2 linked regions of the Caenorhabditis elegans genome follow. The protein of the gene in region 1 purifies or fractionates together with the protein of each later gene. This does not show direct contact. Each region holds a gene or a part of one and is shown on either strand. Other genes may lie near its edges.

Region 1 (3,124 bases):
GGTGTTAATTAAAGGTGCATACGAGTTTCAGATGACAAGGTCTCACCACGAATCACAGTCTCATGGAGTTTTTTGAATTTGTTTTTTTTCTTATTTAATTTTCAACTCCTTTTTATCGATTTTTTCTATTCTTCAGCACGAAATTAAGAATAAATTGAAAAATATTGTAAAAGTAAAATAAAAAAATTTCGCAATAGTTAACCCCAATCTTAAAACTCCTGACTTAAAATTGAATTTAAAGTCATTTCCATGATCCATTTCTGTTAAATACATTTCTTCGTGTATTAGGCAACAAACAACGCTCCAAATAATTTATATTCATCCACTCCTGTTATCATTAATATAAATATTAGTAGGTAACGCGTTTCTGCAGAAATTTCATGTCTATTTTGCATTTTTTAAATTCAATTCTGACCGAAACTCGTGTTTGAACATGGCGCTTTTTTATTTGTTCGTTAGAGCAAATTTGCGATTCCAGTCATTTTATTTGAACGTTCTTCTCCCAGTGGTATTCACTCTTTCGCAACTGTTTTCTATTGATTTCTTCCATTTTTCAGCCAGCTGATTATGTTTCTGGAAGAATGCAAAACTCACTTCAATACGGATTGTCTCTACGAGCTTCTTGGCGTGAAGAAAGATTGCGATGAGAAAGCTCGTAAGTTTTTGGGAAACAAATGTTTAAAGTTAGCGAAAATTTATTTTTTAGTTAAAAAAGGATACTACCGCCAATCAATGCGCTGGCATCCGGATAAATCGAATCTTGTAGAAGAAGATATGCAGACGTACACAACGAAGTTTCAGCTTCTCAACAAAGCTTATCAAATTCTTTCCGATGAAGAGAAAAGGAAAATTTACGATGAAACCGGATCAGTGGACGATGAGGCTGGAGAGCTGAATGAAGATGCCTTGAAAGCATGGAGAATGATTTTCAAAAAGGTGACAAAAGAGGATATCGATAGCTTCATGAAGACGTATCAAGGATCTCGTGAACAGAAGGATGAGCTCGTTGTGCATTACGAGAAATTCAATGGAGATATCGCGAAAATCAGAGAATATGCTATCGGATTCGATGGCGTCGAAGAGTTGAAAGAAGCATTGGATAAACTTATTGATGATGGAGAAATTGAGAAGACGAAGAAATATGAAACGAGCACTTCAGATGTAAGTAATGCAGGTGAAATATGTTAAAATTTATGTTTTATTTCAGAAGAAGATGAAGGCTTACAAGCGTAAGGCTGAGAAGGAGGCAATCGAAGTTGAGAACATGACACAGGTATGTCATGGCAGTAAAATCTGTCACTTTATTTATAAGTTTTATCATTTACCGTTAGGTTACATTTTTAGTATATTCATATGCATAATTATTTAATTTCCAGAACAATTCGGATCTTGTCGCCCTGATTCAAGGTCGCCAGAAGGAACGTGGCACGTCGTTCCTCGATTCACTGGCTGCCAAGTATGCACCTTCTTCCTCCAAAAAGGCAAAGCGGCAGTAATTGAATCAGAATCCGCCCCTTCTTTCGTCACAACTTATCTTTCTTCCTTTCTCTATCTTCTTACTTTTCCGTATTTATGTATTCCCCTTCCATTGGTCACTGCTCCTTGTTCCATACACTCCGGAATTATTTTTTCTAACTTTTGAGATCTCTAATCGTTTCTTTTGAACTCAATTTTTTATAACTGAAAACTTGTGAAATTGCTATGTGGTATTTATAAAAAACATGCTCACTTCTTATTTTGTGTTATTTTGTTTTTATGCCAAAAGTTGTGCCCAACTTTTGAATATCTTCTTTTCGTTTTCTCGTCGCCAAGTTTTCAATATCCGACGAAAGGAAATTGAATTTATATCTCCTCAAGTGGAAAATGGAGAAAATTTTGGCAGTTCTCAGTCGACCAGCAAGTGAAAAATTGCATTTCTGTGCTTATTTTTCTTCCATCTTACAAACTTATCAATTTCCATTTGATTTCAGATGTCTGATTTCGAGGAGACTATTCGCCGTCTACAGTCAGAGAAAGGAGTCGTTGGAATTATTGTTGTCGATTCAGCCGGTACGTTTTCCTAGATAATTCTATCCTGAAAATTGTTTAGAAATGTAAAATCAAAATTAAAAAAAAAACAAAATTAATAGAAATTGTAAAAGTTTAGAAACTAGAAAGTAACATTTAGAAAAGTTAGTGTGGTCTCAGCCGAATGGGAATTACCACCAAACCTTGACAACTAATTTTCCATAAGCTTTGACCAATAAACAATAACTGTTTTCCATGAAACTAGATATTTTTCAGGCCGAGTTATTCATTCGACAATCGACAGCGACGCCACCCAGTCTCACACCGCATTCCTGCAGCAGTTATGTGAGAAGACAAAGACTTCCATTCGTGAACTCGATTCGAGCAATGATCTAACATTCCTGAGGCTTCGAACGAAGAAGAACGAAATCATGATTGCTCCAGACAAGGATCACGTCATTATGGTTATCAAGGACCTCTCGTAAAAACTGGGACCAACATTCAAAAATAATGAAAAAGCATTATATCTTTCTACCCTGCTTGTGCGATTTTAATTTATATCAGATATTTTTTCCAAATAAACGGCTTATATGCAGTTGTTTTTTCTTTTGAAAATGCTTAGAACAGTGTCCCTCCACGTAGTAAAAATACGTCCGTAGCAAAAGAGTAAAACGTAGTAAAACATCCACGTAGTAAAAGATAAGGTAGTAAAAAAGTATTTTCCGTAGTAAAAGATCTATGTGGTCAAATCGTAGTAAAAGATATCACGTAGTAAAAGAGCTAACTGTAGTAAAAGATCTAGATGCGGAATTCGTAGTAAAAGAGATTCCGTAGTAAAAGAGATGTTGTAGTAAAAGAGATACGTAGTAAAAGATCAAGTAGTAAAACAGTATTTGCCCAATTTTTGCCTCACCCTCCGTATTCGCCAAACTTGGTTCCTACTAACTACTATCTGTTCCGTTCTCTAAAATCACCTTGCCAGGCATAAGTTTCATGATCGAAAGGTCGTCGAAACGTGATTGGACGACTTTCTACTTTACCTCTCAGAAGTTCTGTGCGGAGGGTATTGCTTAGCTTCCGTTGCGTTGGCAAGAAGTCATAGGCACTAATGATGAAT
Region 2 (4,132 bases), on another chromosome or scaffold:
GTGGATCCGATTCAGATGGACGACCTGGCAGTCCGAGAGCCGTTCGAAGGAAAGATTCTTGTGAGAGAGGCGTGAAACACAAAGGGTATAGGTTCTTCTTCAGATTCATATCACCAACAGTTTGAATATCCATTGCTTTCAGTTGAGCTTCGCATACACGACCAATTCCTCCAACCTAAAAAATTATCTAGGTAAAACTAGAAGGTTATGCTTTAATAGTCTCACCTTACGAATCGGTAAATCCTTCAAAAACTCCATAATCGCGTTTTTATCATTTTCTAACACATATTGACCATTTGGTTTGTTCAAATCAGAACAAATCTTAGCGAGCATAAAGTTAGATGCGATTCCAGCAGAACATGTTAATCCCGTGAGTTGTTCAACTCGAAATCGAATTTCTCGAACAGCCTCCTCTCGTCCAGTTCCGAACTCCACATGGTCGTAGTAGATTTTCCGCGATTTTTCGCATTTTGGACAGATCGATTCTTCGATTTTCAAGTCTTCCAAAGTATTTTCATTCTCGTCGAAACGGGGTAACCAACATGGACAATCTCCGCCGAATCTGTGACGCTTGAAGGTTTCTAGTAAGCAAATAGTTTTTTGTTAATAATCAAATCTAAATCACTAACTTTTTTCTGTATTACTTGCCACATAGTCTGTCAAATCTATAAATGCCTCATCCAATGACATCATTCCAACATCCGAATCGTATTCCATGAAAATTTGTGAAAATTGGCGACTGACTTTAGTGTATTTAGGGTAATTTCCTGGAACAATCGTTAGACTCGGACAAAGTTTATTTGAGATGAAGCCAGGCATTCCAGCACGGACTCCAAAACGGCGAGCCAAGTAGTTGGATGTGCTCTGAAAGAATAGATTTAAAGCTTTTCCGAAATCGAAAATTTACTTTTCAAATTGAGTTAGGTGCTTACCAGCATTGCCGATGAGCCTACGGCCATAGGAACTGTTCTCAGTGCAGGATTATCTCTCATTTCAACTGCGGCAAAATAAGCATCCATATCTATACAAACACAGTCTCTTGATAAATCTCTAGATGATTCCAGTTTCATCTCAAGATTCTCCATCTGAAAATTGGAAATTTGCTCTAAGTAAATTTATTAGCTTTTAAAATACATACCAGTATCTCAGATTTTTGTCTTTCTTCTCTGGTTGCTGTTTGCAAACGATTTTTGATTTCTAAAACTTTCTCTTCAATTCTTGATTGTTGTTTTTTGGAAAACGACGAGTAGGACGCTGATGTGTTTTCTTCGATGACTTTCGTGATTTTCTCCTTATCCAGTCCATTCATTCCAGCTTTATTATCGTTGAAAGTCAGCATTTTTCACGAAAAAGAGCCGGATTTTGAAATTCGCGGAGAAACTCCACTGATTGTGAGTGTGCAAATGCGCGTAATGGTGTACTTACGTACATCGGCAACACATTTGACGACATATCAGAAAGCGGCGCCAAATTAGAAGTTGAGTGCGCGAGAAAAAACTACGCGTTAACCGCCAATTTTCACTTCCCCACAGATCTGTCTCGAGATTCTCGAGTCATTTTTCAAGTTTATTTGTTTGTCAGCGGTTGTTTTATTGAAGATTTGTAAAATTTATAACAAAATGTGCAATAGTCTATTAAACCTCGTGAGATATTTGAAGAAACTTTCCCCGTTTTAAATATTTCGTGTATTCGTGGAGATCGCGGGAATGTTTTGCCTGTTTCCGTAAAATTCCTCTATTTCTTTTATTTTTGCTTGCAATTTTCGATTCATTTCAGAAGTTTCCACATTCGCAAAACGAATGGACGTCTCTTATTACGATGGTCCCAAGGATGAAGTCGCCGAAGCAATGCTGAAAAGCGCGGTGACGGCCATGAGATTGGGACAATACGAGGATGGAAAAGGACGCTTAGAGGAGATAATGGAGTTCGGAACCTCAAATTTTCAACTACTTGGTACAATCTACATGTATTACGGAAGAGTGTGCAGGCATTTGAACCATGATGCCAAGGCCTTGGAGTTTTTCGAACATGAGTTGAACATGTTCAAGTAAGTGAATCACAAAAATGAGCTGGACATTCTATAACCTTAATTTTTCAGATTGATCTTCAACTACCCAGAAGCATGTGATTCCACACGTCGCATCGTCGAGCAGGCACTCAAAATGGGAAAGTTCCCCAAGGCTCGACGGTTTGCTGAGGATCTCATTGATTACACCAGCAATAAGAAGAACGGAGAGAAGTATATCGGTCAAGCTCGAATTTTGTTCGCTTCCGTGTGCCTCGAAGGATGTGAAAGAGACGTCGAGAGTAATCAAGATGAGAAGAAGAAGCTTTTGTCAATATGTGCTGAACAGATTGCAGCCGTGAAATTGTTCAACGAGAATAATACGGAAGGAGCTGTGTCTGAGACCAAAATCATGTTACTTGAGGCGAAATGCTTGTCACTAGACGAAAAATACGAGGAATCGCGTCGCAAGTATCAAGAATGCATCGATTTTGCCATCAAAACAGACCAGTTTGAAGCAGTTCACATCGCCTATTACGACAAGGCTCTATATGCTGAGACAGATCTTCTTTTCTTTATTATCAGAGATCTCAGGTAATTTTTAGTTTTAACGATTAATAAAAATATCAATTCTTTATTCACAGAAGTGCTCTCTTCTACGCCACGAAATTCGGAAAAGAGCGAGATGTAGTCAAATATAAGTCGAAGCTATCCGAAGAGATGCTGAGAAATGGCGAATTCCACGAAGCATATCTCTACGGATTGGAAGCGCTTGTATCGATTCGGAAGCTTGGATTGAACGAATACATTGGAGATGTGTTGCTTACAATCGCAAAGTGCCTCATTGCACTTGGAAAAAGACGCCAAGCTGCTTATTTTATCATCTTGGGGAGTGTTCTGACCATCAACCAAAACAGTTTCAAACTGTTCTACGAGCAGATCGACGTGGCGATGAATCAAGAGAGAAGCGAAACGGCAACTGATCAAGATGTATGCCTCGCAATTGATTCGTCTCCTGATCCGACATCCTCGAATGACATGATTAATAAGTTCGTCGTCGAACTGGAGCACGCAACAAATGTGGAAACCTGGGAAATGATTGTCAACGGAATCATTGACGACCAGAAGAAACCAGTGGCGATCGAAAAGAAAGAGAACGAGGAACCCGTAGACATGATGGATCTCATTTTCAGTATGAGCTCACGTATGGATGATCAAAGAACTGAACTGCCTGCTGCCAGATTCATTCCGCGTAAGAAATGTTATAAATAAGCGTATAAGTATGCAAATTTATATTTTTCCAGCTCGTCCAGTGTCATCGGCATCGAAAAAGACTACAAAGAGTCACAGAATCCTCCCTGGACTCCGTGCCAATTGGACAAAAGTGCAGTCGATGAAGTTCGATGGTCACACAATGAATAGGATCCTGAAGAGGTCGAAGAAAAGCAAATCGTCATTGGATTCTACAAATTCGATGCAGGGCGATGATACTCGAAGCGATGATGTGACAATGACGTCCAAATAGGACCATTATTTTTTCTGTCAAATAATACAATCAAACTTTCTTTATTTATTTTTTTTTTACTTTCTTTCAGTAAATATTATTATCATTTTAGTGGTTCTTTTATTTTATTTGCTGGTCAGAAAAGCTGATTTTTTCAATTAGCGAAAATCCATCAAGTCATATTTCTATAGACTCTTTACTACATACGTTGATGACTTTCGTGATTTTCTCCTTATCCGGTTCATCCATTCCAGCTTTATTATTGTTGAAAGTAAATAAGCATTGTTTCCCGAAAAAGAGCCGGATTTTGAAATTCGCGGAGAAAAAGTTGAAAATTGAAAAATCCAAACGATGCTCCGATGTTCCGTCCGAAATGTGTGTTTTACCGTGACGGTGTTTGCAGACAGCTTGAAAAAACATTTATTTTTTTATTTTAATTTTATTAATTTATTATTTATTTTAGAATGTTCTATATTTTAAAATGTGAATTTGTTTCAGGGTACTCGGAATGTTTGTCTTAAACCGTTCAAGCGGGCTCATTCATCGATCTGTACCTTTATTAGCTCAAGTATCCACGCCTACGACTTCCACAACAAAATTAGGTTAATAATTCTCCATTTGGT

What was found.
Region 2: the proteins of dyrb-1 (region 1) and gpr-1 purify together in Caenorhabditis elegans (affinity purification with western blotting, with the first as the bait; one study listed by BioGRID). This does not show direct contact.

The regions. Positions count from the first base shown.
Region 1 is NC_003280.10:9,105,992-9,109,115, reverse strand, and holds dyrb-1 (Dynein light chain roadblock), read left to right. Parts: upstream 1-1,970; coding exon 1,971-2,049; intron 2,050-2,283; coding exon 2,284-2,492; 3' UTR 2,493-2,601; downstream 2,602-3,124. Other genes in the region: dnj-23 (J domain-containing protein), read left to right, coding at 568-655, 707-1,161, 1,208-1,273, 1,377-1,496.
Region 2 is NC_003281.10:8,627,158-8,631,289, forward strand, and holds gpr-1 (G-protein regulator 1), read left to right. Parts: upstream 1-1,768; 5' UTR 1,769-1,799; coding exon 1,800-2,047; intron 2,048-2,098; coding exon 2,099-2,599; intron 2,600-2,649; coding exon 2,650-3,257; intron 3,258-3,309; coding exon 3,310-3,530; 3' UTR 3,531-3,619; downstream 3,620-4,132. Other genes in the region: polk-1 (DNA polymerase kappa), read right to left, coding at 1-175, 226-581, 630-864, 933-1,085, 1,139-1,339; DnaJ homolog dnj-10, read left to right, coding at 4,018-4,111. UniProt on the Caenorhabditis elegans protein: In the 1-cell embryo, probably together with gpr-2, controls nuclear rotation and spindle elongation during mitosis. Complex of gpr-1 and gpr-2, in association with lin-5, activates G-protein signaling to affect mitotic spindle force.